3 linked regions of the Oryzias latipes genome follow. The protein of the gene in region 2 interacts with the protein of the main gene of each other region in a pairwise test. Links are inferred from orthologs where the notes say so. Each region holds a gene or a part of one and is shown on either strand. Other genes may lie near its edges.

Region 1 (3,388 bases), on a different chromosome or scaffold from region 2:
TTAAAATCCGATTAAGCTGTTGGTGTACTTTGTTATAAAACTCACTTTTTTTTTTAGGCAAACGTTATTGGAGACCTAGGTAGTGCATCGTTATTTTATTGTGATCCATAAAGCCTGTTACATACAAGGCTATCTTTAGGGTCCTTGTTTTTAATCATTTGTAGAGATGGTGGAGCTAGGTTAAAAAAAAAAAAAAGCATTTGAACTCCAAACTCAAAGCATCTGCTTGTTACAAGTTTGACAGAAAGAAAGATTTGGAGTTTTAACCAGATGCCACTAAACCCTGTTGTCTTGGCCAGAATACAAAAATGTCCTGAAGGCAAACATGGGAATCTGTAGAATATGGCTATGGGTGATATGCCAAGAGGAAGCATTGGGCAGGGGAGAGAAAAAACTCTTCCCTTCCTCTCCTGCACTAGAAACTAGTCTTCCAGGATGAGTTTGATCCGACGGTTGTGTGGTGTTGGATGGACAGCGATCATTTCCAGACATGTGCTGTCATGTGTGCTGAGCTTGGCGTCGATGAGCTGCCCATGTGCTGAGTGCCGTATCCCACCCCCTCATTGCTGCTGTAGAGATTCATTCCAGCCATGTGCGGCGTCATCTGAAAAGTCACAAATAAACCTTGTTATGACTAAAACATTATCAGAGCAATCGCATTTCTGCTAATTATAGGGGAGCCGGTTGTTAAAATGTTGTGGTACTAGCACCAAATTTGGCATGGACGTACATTAGGATCCCCTCTTTTAGAAAGTTTATTGTTAGCCACGAGAAAATCCAACATTTTAAAATATATATAATATACATACGCATCAAGTTTAAAGACTGCATTTTAGACATAAACAGCCCACTTTACTGAGAATGGGCAAACAGACATTGAATATTTTGTAGCAATTAAGTGTATGGCTGCCATCCTAACAAATGGCCGCCATTTTGAATTTTTCTCATTGCAAATGTACTTTTTCTGAAGGCACATCCATAACAAATTTGTTGCTTGTACAACAAAATGCATGATTTGTCTGTAATATCAACCTGACACAGGCCAACGTCTCTGATTAGTGCAAAATTTGAGAGGTTCTGTTTGATAAAGAGGAATGACTTGTCTATTTGAGGGAACTTTTCCTAGATTAGATACTTATTTTAACCCTTGTGCTATATTAGATGACCCCACCCTTACTTTGACGTGTTCTCCCTACCATGACAAAGGTGGATAAAGGTGGAAAGATTACATGTAATCCATGGACACCAGTGAAAATCACAAATCATTGAAGAAAAAAGGTTCAGAGCATTGTCTAGTGGGTCTATATGACCCAACTCCCCACGTCAAAGTGCCTAGGATAGCACAAGGGTTATAATCGAGCTCTGTTTTGGAAAGTTTAAATGCTTCAGGTTTTTGAACTCACTGGTGATGTGTAGAAAAACAAAACAAAGTTCTTTGACAAAAACGGTAAATGGTGTGTACTTATACAGCACTTTACTATCTTCTTAGAAGGCCCAAAGCGCTTTACAGTCACAGTCTCTTTAACGCCCTGATGCCGGCTCCGCTGCCTAAAACAGGCGCCTGCCTAGAAACACCAGGAGCTGTGGGGTTCAGTGTCTTGCCCAAGGGCACTTCAACAAAAGGGCAGGCGACGTGGGAACCTTGTTTTCATATTATGTTATATATTTTTCTCTAGTCACATATTAGTTTTCATTGTCCTGAGTTGTTTCTGTTATTACCCATAGGTGTTTTTCATGGTTTTGTAGTTGTTCATTGCTACCAAACCCTGTTGCTCCCCTGTTTCACCACCCATTTGTTGTTGCTTGTGTCAGGTTTTTCAAATGTATTTTGTATTACATTTAAGTTGTTCTGTTGTTATTCATTCATCTTCTCAACCTGCCCAGTCCTGGTCAGGGTCACAGGGTTGTTGGGCTTCATTCAGACACTGTTGAGTGAAGGTGGGGTACACACTGAACGGTTTGCAGGACCATTGCAGGCCCAAACACGCACATTCACACTTGGGTCCCACTCTGATTGTCTTCTGTTCCCAGTAGTCTTTTCTTTATCGTTATGCCGTTTTTAGCCTGAATCATAACCAGGTGTTTTCCAGGACGTAGTTTCTGCAGAGCGGCAGAAGTTCACTAGAAATTTGCCTCTGAGTGATGGGTGTAAGCAACAGCTTACAGCCCCTCACACCTCCAACCTAACAATACCGGTGCAACAAAAAATGGCAAAACTTTTCCGAGCTACCCAGCCGTACAGTTCCCAGATTCCAACTCAGACAAGGAAAACAAAGACGTACATGGATCTAGTCGTCTGAGAGTGGATGCATCAGAATGGAGCGGAGCAGGAAGCTTGCCCAGTTTGCGCAGCATATTTTCTTTCTTAATGCTTTTAGTACACACCTGGGCAACATTCCACTGAACCTGTTGCATCTGTTGCATGCCATAAACGTGTTGGTGCGGTAATGTTGCTAAGCCTCCAGCCTGTTGCTGAGCCACCATTGCGCTTTGCTGCTGTCCCATCATGCCCTGGCTCATTCCTGCCACGTAAGGTGATGCAACCACACCACTGGACTGTGGCAGGACACAATGAGCACCCACTAGTCCGTTCTGCTGTCCCATCACACAGTTCTGCTGGACTCCAACCAGGTTGTTTTGTTGAACCCCTATAATGCTGCTTGGCTGCTGTCCCATCACGGCCATTTGTGATGTCATCATGGTGCCTCCTAGTCCTCCCACCTGGGCCAAAGAATGGTATGGACCATACGGATGTGTCGGGTATCCCATCTGGTTCATGTACAATCCACCTAAAAATGATCACAGACAGTGTCGGCAGTTAATAACCAACAAATCACACCTGGTATTCACCATGAACATATCTTTCGAGAGTCTGCGAGAGTTCTCACCAGGTGCAGCCACGCTGCTGGCATGCACTGAGGGAGTGGAGGCATACAGGGACAGAATAGAATCCTTGGACAGTTTCTTGACAGTTCCTTCATTCGATTTGGGTTTGGGGTCCAAAAATAAACTGAGGTTTTCAGGCACTGAGGCAGTCACTCTACTCTGAGGCATGGAGCCAGAAACTGGCTGCAGGACAGGATGAACAGATAGGACACAAATAAAGAGAGAGATTGTCAGAATCAAAACATCATAAAAGTTCCGCTTATAGTATTTAGGAAACTTTTAGAACTGAATTCATGTTTTGCTATAATATTTTGACATCCAAAGTTCTATTTGAGTTCAGATCCTGTTTGTAGACACAGAGACTTATCCTTAAGCAAAAGGATAAAGCCAGACTTTTTAGCCAATTTAGAGTGTTCTATTAAATACTAATCATGCCTTGATTTTTTTTTCTATGCCTTTCTGACCTTATGAAAGCTGCCATTTCAAGAGAAGCATTTTTAAA
Region 2 (5,254 bases):
ATTGCACCAGTCTTAGTATGAGCCAACTAAAGGGGTTTTCTTTCATTGTTACTGGCTTATTAGCAAATTAAAAATCTTTTTTTTTTTTCATTTGTAGTTTTTGCTTGCTTTGTAATACAAAATCTAAATATCAAACCAAATCAAAACCATGGCTCAAAAATAAAGGTTTGGATCGAATCGTAATGTATATCTCTGCATCCTTGATTGTTAATATGATTTTAACAGAAAATCCTCATAAATTATCTTTTTTTTAATGTAGAAATCATTATTTTTATAAATATTTTTTATCTGAATCTCTCGTTCCTTGTCAATGTGTATTGTTTAAATTATTTTAAAACTTTAAATCTTCGAGCAAAGCAAGAAAAAAGGGAAATTTCAGAGAGACATCTGTATAGAAGACAAACTACAATATAACAAATACCTACAAAAATGAGACAAAGCAACTATTTTGTTTTTCTAAGATGCCAGACAACACTGAGCCCTGAATCTAAAGGGCCTATACCAGGCAAAAATCAAAATTTTGAGCTTCAAAGTGTATTATAATGTTCATTCCTTGCAAAAAAGAACCCCCAAAGTGGTAATTTGACCCATTTATGAATTTCTGAGCATTCCTGTAAAAACCTGCTCTCTGAGCACCAGCCCCTCCCAGTCCACAAAAACGATTGGGTTCTCACATTGTGATGTCACAAAGTGAGGAACAGCCCCTTCTAGGAACAGTCTGCACTGCCAGCTCCGCCCCCAGGCAAACACACACACGCAGCCTCACTTTCTCCGCCAAGCTAGTTGTAATTGGCTAAAGGCTTTTCCTTTTATATGCACAACAATGTGCTCCTGGGCCGTTGTGACATCACAAAAGCTAATTTATTCTAACAGAGAGTCTTTGCAGCAGTTTGATTGACAGCGATTTAAAAGGACAAATACAAAAGTGAAATGATTTTTTTATTACATTAGTTCTCCTTCATAAGAAAACTGCCACAAACTTGTCAAAAACTCAAAACACATGATATTCAGAGGAGGACTAGAAGTCAAGCCGGAGGAAAGTCTTGCACCAACATGAGCTGTGAACTGTTGCAGGAAGAGACCAGTTGACATGGGTGCGAACAGAAGGAAAGATTGGGAAAATGCTGGCGACTCGATAACGTCTTGAAAAGACAAATTTTTGTTTGTAGATTTGCTTACTTAAACACATATTCCCTCAAAACGTTATTTTCTTTTAGAAGGAACCCAGGACAGTCTGAGTTCGTTAGCAGGTGTTAACAGGCAAAGAATGATCTTTGGGATCACTACCTCCATGAAACTTGGAGTTTTATGATGAAATCCAGAGGCTCCACCCATCTACTTTTTTTTTTTTTTTACAGGGGGGGGGGGGGGGGGAGACAAACTATTACTAGACCACTTTAACTGGCTACTAAGAAGAGCGAGGCCATTTGCTTTATTTTCCTCATCTCCTGGATGACAGAACTCCTCCTCCTCCTCTGCTCAGGAACAAGCTCAGCCACCCTTCAGCAGAAGCTAAATCTGGCTGCTTGCTTTCATGGTCTCAGTCTTCAGGTCAATATCCAGAGCTCAAGACCATAGATGGGAGTTGGAACAGAGATCAATGGGCAAACAGAGTTTTGATAGTTGACTCAACTCTGTCTGGTGGGACTCAAATCTACCCGTCAAACCATTTGGACCTAAAAAAAATACTGAACGATCTATACAAGCAAGTCCATTCTATAAATGACAAGACTCTTGCATTTGAAAAATTCCCCTTAGACACTCGTCATGCTAATGCATTAACCTGGGATGCCAAAGGTCACTGAAATGCTGATTTACTCGTTTGGGTAAATGCCTGGAATAACTGACCTCCAGATGCGACAAATAGAAACAATTTTAGTTTGTCGATATAAAAAATACAAATCACTAATAAAAACTGGTGCAAAGATTTCCCATTCAAGTCAGAAATACAGAGCTTAAAATACAAAAAATGATTCATTTGCATAGCCAATTGATTCTCTTTAGGATAAAAAAATCTAAATTGTTAGATAAAAAACAAATTTTTGTCTAAATAGAAATTCTATTGAGACAATATTGAAAAATGGTCAGCTAATACAAAAGGGCTTTAAGCCATTATGTGATAATTATGACAGGTCTATTAGCCAGAAAAAAGAAATCTTGATAGTTTCAGAAAGCTCCAGGGAAATTAAAGGTTCACATTGTATAGTAGATTAGTTTTCATACCATTTTATACCATTTGTTTAACTTCTATTTTAATTGTTCTGTATTTCTTATGTTATTTTTATAAATGGATTTAACGCAAGCCGTAATTAATAATACAATTTTTACAGAAATTACGTATCCAAAAATCTGCCCAAATCAAAAGAAATAAAGAGAAAAAGTTGAGTTATAAAATTGATAAAATGGTTAATTGATAGAAAACAAAACCCATTTAAAATAATATTTCATCTTCGAATTAAAATTGGCAAAGGTTGTGTATTTTTAACTGAAAACATTAACTGGCTCTTTTCACCACATAAATTATAATTTAAGGTTATATTAAACTTGAGAATTTGAACCGTAGATGTTTTTCCAGTAAGCTAGCATTAAGACAAGCACTATAGCCAAATTAGCAACTAGCACCATTTCCAGTAAGGTGGACTCAAACATAGGTGATTGGTCGAATAATGTAATTTTTTTAAATATTAAAACAATAAGCGTTTATTCACGACCAACAGGAATAGCCACCAAACTAACTAACGTTACCGTAAATTATCATGCGCTGATGTTTACATGGACAAAAGCAGGAAACAAACAGTGATCCTTAACAGTGAAATCATGTGAGCTTCCCCTTTAAAATCATGTTAGCTGGCTGGACAGTATGTGACCTGCTTAGTAAACGGCAGAAGAATACAATGTGACACTAAATTTACATTGCTAACAGTTTCTGACGGTTTGGGAAAAAGTCTAGGTTCGGCGAAGGTGTTTCCCAGAAGACGCCAGCGTATTGTTATCTACGTAGCTAACGTGAAGTTCGCATCAGATGCCATAACGATTAGCTCCCCGTCTCTGAATATAAACGCCAGCGTCGTTAAAACGAACAACTGGCTAATTATTTGGTGGCGGTCTGAAGGCATACCTTTGTTATTCATAGTTGTGGATTGATCCGGAGGTTGAAAAATATCTGGTTTCACTGAACTCAACGAATCTTGTCACGGCCTTCTTATAGGTTACGGCTTTACACAATCATCCACTTCCTTGTTTCTCTGCTTCTTGTTGTTGTGGAAGTGGTTACGTCATTCTTTCTTTATCTGCGCTCGAACTGCTCACAGTTTGATCTGCACTCGCGCGCCGCCACCTGGTGAACTATGGAACTGTTTTAAAAAAACAAAATGAATCACTCCATCTTCTATTTGTAGGTTAAATATAAAAGAAATACTTGGTGTTTGATGACTGTAAAATTTACAGTTGATGTAAAACTTTTTTTGTCAACTGGCGCCAACAGTAAACTAATTCATACAATTGTAATGGATATTGATCATTTAGATTCTTGAAATATTAAAAGACAGCACAGCTATCAAAATGTAGACATTAAGAATTTTAATTTTTCATTTTAGTGTATAGTTAACTGTTTTTTCATAAGAAAACATGTTTTTAAATTAACCAAAAACTTTAACCAAAACTTTAAATAATTTAAAAAACACACTAACCAAGAAGGCTGCATGAGGAAACGAGTAAACTTGCAATGTGCAATATAAGTGATCAATATTGCAATTACGAAATGACTTACGCTACATAAAAAAAAATAACTAATACATCATTTCCAATTCACTGCAAAAGTTTTACTTGAATAAAAGTCAATGCAACCTAAACGATATTCCAAATGACCCTCGTCTACACAGGAGGCAGGGATCAAACATAAAAGAGGTCCATCTGATTGGTTAAAGGACTTTATTTCATTTGTCAAACACTTCAAGCTGCCATAATATTGCTTTCACATGTGTGTAAACATTAAAGGTAACTATTTATTGCAATTTACGCTGTCTGTAGCAATACGCATATTGCACAGGCTATTGCGATAATGATAAATATGAAATTTATTTGGCAGGCCTACTAATGAACACATTAAAAAGACAAAAGAAGAAAAAACACATACAGTCCTCTTCCTACACTATTTTATTCTAATTTTTAAAAATCCAAATAAGCCCTAATACCACTTTAAAGTCCTTCTCCGATAATCTTTTGATATATTGTAAAAGCATTCCCAGTGGACCTTTAATTAGGTTTACGTTGTTTTTACACTCTCAAATATTTACTTGCAATTTAACACAATACTATACTACACTATACTATATTCCAAATGAGTATTTTTTATTTTGTAGGAGTTATAAAATGTATATATTTTTAAAATTCCAATTGTCCCTAAAACACTAATGATCATTTTTGTCATTCACATAGACAACAAAAAGCACACAAAAAAAAACTAAATAGAGTTTTGACAAACACATGACAGCTACTGATTATTAATCCTGTTTCAAACTATTAATATATAAGCATAACTTCAGGAGGCTCTTTGCGGTGGAAAATTGCACATAATCCTCGAATGAAGAGTTCTGGGAAGCATCTTTGGGAATATTTGGTTGGTGACACACTCCGCGCGCGGCCTTCGGGAGGAGGCGCGGCCCCTTTAAGGGAACCATGGCACCGCTCGAGTCGAGGCAGACATCTTTCAATGCAAGAATTTTCCTTGCATAAATTATGTTCATGACGTAGTGCAAAAGGGCACTTTTAGGGCAAAATTGTCCAATTTTACAGCTCAAAAAGGGACTCAGTGAGCCACCTAGGGGGATTTTCGGTCATTTTGAGTGTCGCGGGGAGGGCGTCGTCTTTGCATTTAGTGGGGAGAAGCCCGTCGTTGCAGCCCTGCTTATCAATGCAAATGCCTCTCTTTTGTGTGCAGTTACAGCGCCTGTCTGGGAGCTGAGGTGAATTTATAATGATGCGTGACTGAAACAAGCGGCGACAAGGAGCCCCTTTGAACGCGGCGGAGTGCGGAAGAACAGGCGGCTTTTGCGGTAAGTTGGAGAAAATAGAGCGGGGCTGTGTTCAGGCTCGGTCCTCCGCGTCGCAGCGAAATGGCGAGAGGAAATGAGTTTGGGTTAATATGCAATGCTCGTAATTAGCATAATTTATATATTTATGATAAAGAGAGGGAAATATCTAATTTTCAGTCTCGGCACGGGTTCAGAGGGCTTCCTGCTGTCCGTGCTCGGTG
Region 3 (4,000 bases), on a different chromosome or scaffold from region 2:
AACTGACATTTATCTTCAGAAAAGAGGACGGGTCAAAGTAAATGCTGCGACAGCTTGAGTTCCCACTGCCTCCTGCTATTTGCTTATGAGAAGATGCCCGTTAAATGTCATCCCCGCTGCTTCGTGTGTCACCAGCCCTAGAGTGAGGCAAATCCGCTTACCCTTTCTCACAACACATAGTGCAGAACATTACAACAAGCATATGATGCACAGCTGGTGGCAAAACAATGAAAAATACTTCAAATGATTTGTACAGCACAAAGACACTTATTGAAGACCCAGTCTGATAAAAACATATGATTTTGGTGTTAATGAATATGTTCTTGTAGCATTTTTATGATGATGGCAGACATATATTAAGAAAATTAAACTTAAAATCGCATTTCTGACTATTTATACATTTCTCTGGCTTAAAACTGTACAGCTGGATAGCTACAATATTGCTCGCCACTTTTGTTGCACCGGCAATGTTAGGTTGGGGCTGAGAGGCTGTAAGTTAGCCGGAGAGAGTAAGCAGATGGGTGATGGGAAGTGGGGGCAGGGTTATTTCGCGCCAACAATCTTCAAGCAAACCTCAGAGGTGAATTTCTAATGAACTCTTGCGGCTCTGCAGAAACTGTCATTTTGGCAAACAAGGACATTATCATAACTAAAAGACAACTGGAGAAGCTTTTAAAACAGATCAAAGGATGATTGGAGCGGGCCTTTAACTCTTTTTTCTACAGGGCAGCAACACAGATGACGCATATGTGGGCCGGTTGCTTCAAAACAATCTTAAGAGTAAAGTCCACAAACACTCGTGACGAATATCCAGTTACCTAACCAATTAGGAAAGAAATAAAAAGGTACAAACAAAAGCTAGAGGACGATTTATTGTGACACTAAAATACATCCCAGGATTTTTACGAACATATTTTGAATATAATTTAAAGTAAAGTTTGCGTTTGCCTAATAGCTTCTAAAGCTTTCATTAAATTCAGTCCAGACCTTTAGGCAGTGACAGAAGGAGCAATTAATGCATCAATATTTCTGAGGTCCACACTCATTTATTAGGAGTTGAAAACCATCTAAAGCAGGGGTGGGCAAACTGCGGCCCGCCTTCATGTTTGGTCCGGCCCACTGAACAATATCAGAGAACCATGTTTATTTATTTTTATCTGGCAACACGATCAAGACGCGCATAGAACGTGACATTTTATTCCCCCCCTTTTGCAGTCTGTGCTCCAACCTGAAACCCTCTAAAATCTGTCAAACAGAACAGAGACAGTCTTCCCTTTCTACGTCGTAGTTCATCTTTCCCGGTTTTAATCGTTCTTTTAGAGCGATTATGCTGCTGTTTTTTAAAACAGCGCATCCTGTTCTGTGTCCTGATTGGCTGGAGACCCTGTCAATCAATCTCCTCCGTGTGTCTCCTGTACAGAAACGTGGAGCTCTTCAGATCAGAAATCTGGGATCGATCAGATCTTTGTTTTCATTCTAAGATCCTGGACTTAATTTCTATGAAGGTTTGAGAATTGAAACAAGAGAAAAGGGTGAAAATGTTCTGTCTGAGAAAAGTGTATACTCTGTGGATTTCACTGATCACGGGTTATTTTTAGAACGTAACTCCTGCAACAAACAACGGAACTCTGTACTGGTGAAAAGGTAACACAGATATATGCGTAGCTGCAGCAGAAGACATAGAAATGTGCTTTTTTCATTATTACTGGACGCCAAACAGACGTGCAGGACACAGCTGTTCAGTTTCAGCGCAAACTGTGAGACGTGTGAGGAGCTGCAGCCATCAACATCTCAGCGGGAAAATGACGGCAGAGGATCCACTGGATCCATCCAGAGGATCCATTGGTTTTTCTTTTTAATGCATCAGTATATTTTTTCCTGACTTTTTGTCTTTGAAAATCACAGTTATTTGGTCTTTTTTTATTTCATAAATAGTGTTATTTATTTTATTAAAAGGATCATGATTTAAGAAAACTTTAGTTTAGGGCTTTACAATAAAAGAAAGATAAAAGAAGTTAAGAGTTTTAAAGAAACAGAGTTATTGTTTGGGGCCCCGCTTTGGCATCCATGTGGTGTTGGAAGATTTGTTGTTTTTTATTCTTCCTATTATTCAAACACCACATGAACGCAGCATTTCTCTTAAGTTTTACACGAGGTACATCAAGCCGTTGGTGCAATTGGCTCTAAAATGAGAACGCAGTTTTTAAAATATAATTTCCAATCCAAATGTTTTCATCCAGATTCCATGTTATTTCTTTGTCACTCCACGCATCTGCTCCTGGTCCGGCCCTTCTATCCAATTTGAGAACCCCGTGTGGCCCGCCAGTCAAAAAAATTGCCCACCCCTGATCTAAAGAAACAACTGCGAATATATTTTAGCTCCTTGTACTAAAAATATATGACGCTACCATTGCACGAAGCCAAGTCTGAATTTAGAGGAAAAGACTGGCTTGAGAGGGGCTACTTGGAGGATTTCTCCCTTCAGCTAAAACACAAAATGACAGTAGAACATTAAAACAAAAATCTGCATCACAGCTGAGTCTCAGTGTGGTGTACTGTAAATATACCAGAAACTTTATAAAAGCCACCCTCATGTTTAAGTGGGACTATAGCCTGACCTCTTTCACATAAAGGAGGATGTAAAACCTTTGGAGCAAAAGCTCATTGTTTGAATGAGTCCAACACACCTGTGATGACGCGGTGGGGAAGGTGATACCCTCTTCTTTGAGGGACTTTATAGTAGCACTAATCAGGCTGAGCTGCGGATCCTTCTGAAAGTCCTCTGCCCACTCTACCATCAGGGCCTTCAACCTTTCGCAGACTTTAGGATGGGCCTGCAGTGGACAGAAAACACAAATATATCACACCCAGAAGGAAATCATCATTTTTCTTTCAAAGCAGAGTTCCAAAACAGTTCAAAGTTTTAAAGACGTTTAAAAAAATTAAACACATCTACTTTTTATTTAATCTTTTAAGACGTTTAAGGGCCAACATGACTGTTGATTCTATTATAAAGGAATAAATAAAAGATAAATAGCACATAAATTTTAATAAAAATAGGAGAAAAAAGGACTCACTCTGCTTAAAACAGATCTCACTTCACTGGCAAAATCTCTTGAGCAAATTTCCAAATGAAATATTTTGCCACAGTTTGAAACACAAGCGCCGAGCAACTGTGAGGGAAAAGACAACATTTCAGTGTTTTCTACTACACAGGACATCTGCATTACAGTCTCATTTAAAAACAGGTTTTCCCGTACAAAGAAAGTATTTTTTCAGTTCAAATTAGATTTAAATGCTACTTGTCCTGCTGTTGTTTAAGTGTGTGAAAACAGATCTAAACCTAGAACCATTTTCCTCCTTACGACTAATATCCTTCAAGCTTACTGAATGTCTTTTGAATAGTCAACACTTGATTAGTTTGAATTAAAATCAGCAAAACTTGACCAAAAAAATGCATTATTGAAACTGTGGTTGAAGTTAGCCTATTTTTACAATTGGTGTTGTATTTTGGAAATATTGTATCACCTAAATATTAGTTTATAATTCCACAAATATGAAACTGTCACCCTGACTATCCCAAGTAAATCACACACACAAATATAACACATAAAATAATCCCACTTTTGAATTGTGTCGGTAATTTTCTTTTATTATTTAAAATTCATAACCAACTCACATTGAGGGCTTGCATGGCGACATGAGGCACTTTGTGGTTGACTCTCTTCATTATGGATTTTAAGCTGTCTTTTGCTCTATACCAGGGAAAAACAGGATTATATATATATATATATATATATATATATATACACACACAATTAATGCTATACACTTAAATATATGTGTACAGTTAGTTATTGAATAATTAGAAATTTTTAAACGCATACTTATTACAAAATAAACACAAATTCTTGCAGTTTACCCATTGGATGTCGTTCCAATCTTATCACAGATGTCCAGAATAAGCGCCCAGTCATCTGTTGTGTTGTTTTCATTGGTT

Evidence for each region. The genes of interacting proteins can lie anywhere in the genome.
Region 1: the proteins of dazap2 (region 2) and stromal membrane-associated protein 2 interact in binary tests that used the Homo sapiens proteins (3 or more experiments, as listed by UniProt). The two-hybrid records come from large-scale screens. The link is inferred for Oryzias latipes from reciprocal best matches to the Homo sapiens genes DAZAP2 and SMAP2.
Region 3: the proteins of dazap2 (region 2) and stam2 interact in binary tests that used the Homo sapiens proteins (3 or more experiments, as listed by UniProt). The two-hybrid records come from large-scale screens. The link is inferred for Oryzias latipes from reciprocal best matches to the Homo sapiens genes DAZAP2 and STAM2.

What each region holds. Positions count from the first base shown.
Region 1 is NC_019869.2:11,630,668-11,634,055, forward strand, and holds part of stromal membrane-associated protein 2, read right to left. Parts: intron 3,070-3,388; coding exon 2,889-3,069; intron 2,790-2,888; coding exon 2,386-2,789; intron 605-2,385; coding exon 479-604; 3' UTR 1-478.
Region 2 is NC_019865.2:22,361,110-22,366,363, forward strand, and holds the start of dazap2 (DAZ-associated protein 2), read right to left. Parts: upstream 3,293-5,254; 5' UTR 3,132-3,292; coding exon 3,119-3,131; intron 1-3,118. UniProt on the Homo sapiens protein: In unstressed cells, promotes SIAH1-mediated polyubiquitination and degradation of the serine/threonine-protein kinase HIPK2, probably by acting as a loading factor that potentiates complex formation between HIPK2 and ubiquitin ligase SIAH1.
Region 3 is NC_019879.2:4,395,543-4,399,542, forward strand, and holds part of stam2 (signal transducing adapter molecule 2), read right to left. Parts: coding exon 3,923-4,000; intron 3,756-3,922; coding exon 3,680-3,755; intron 3,174-3,679; coding exon 3,078-3,173; intron 2,835-3,077; coding exon 2,688-2,834; intron 1-2,687.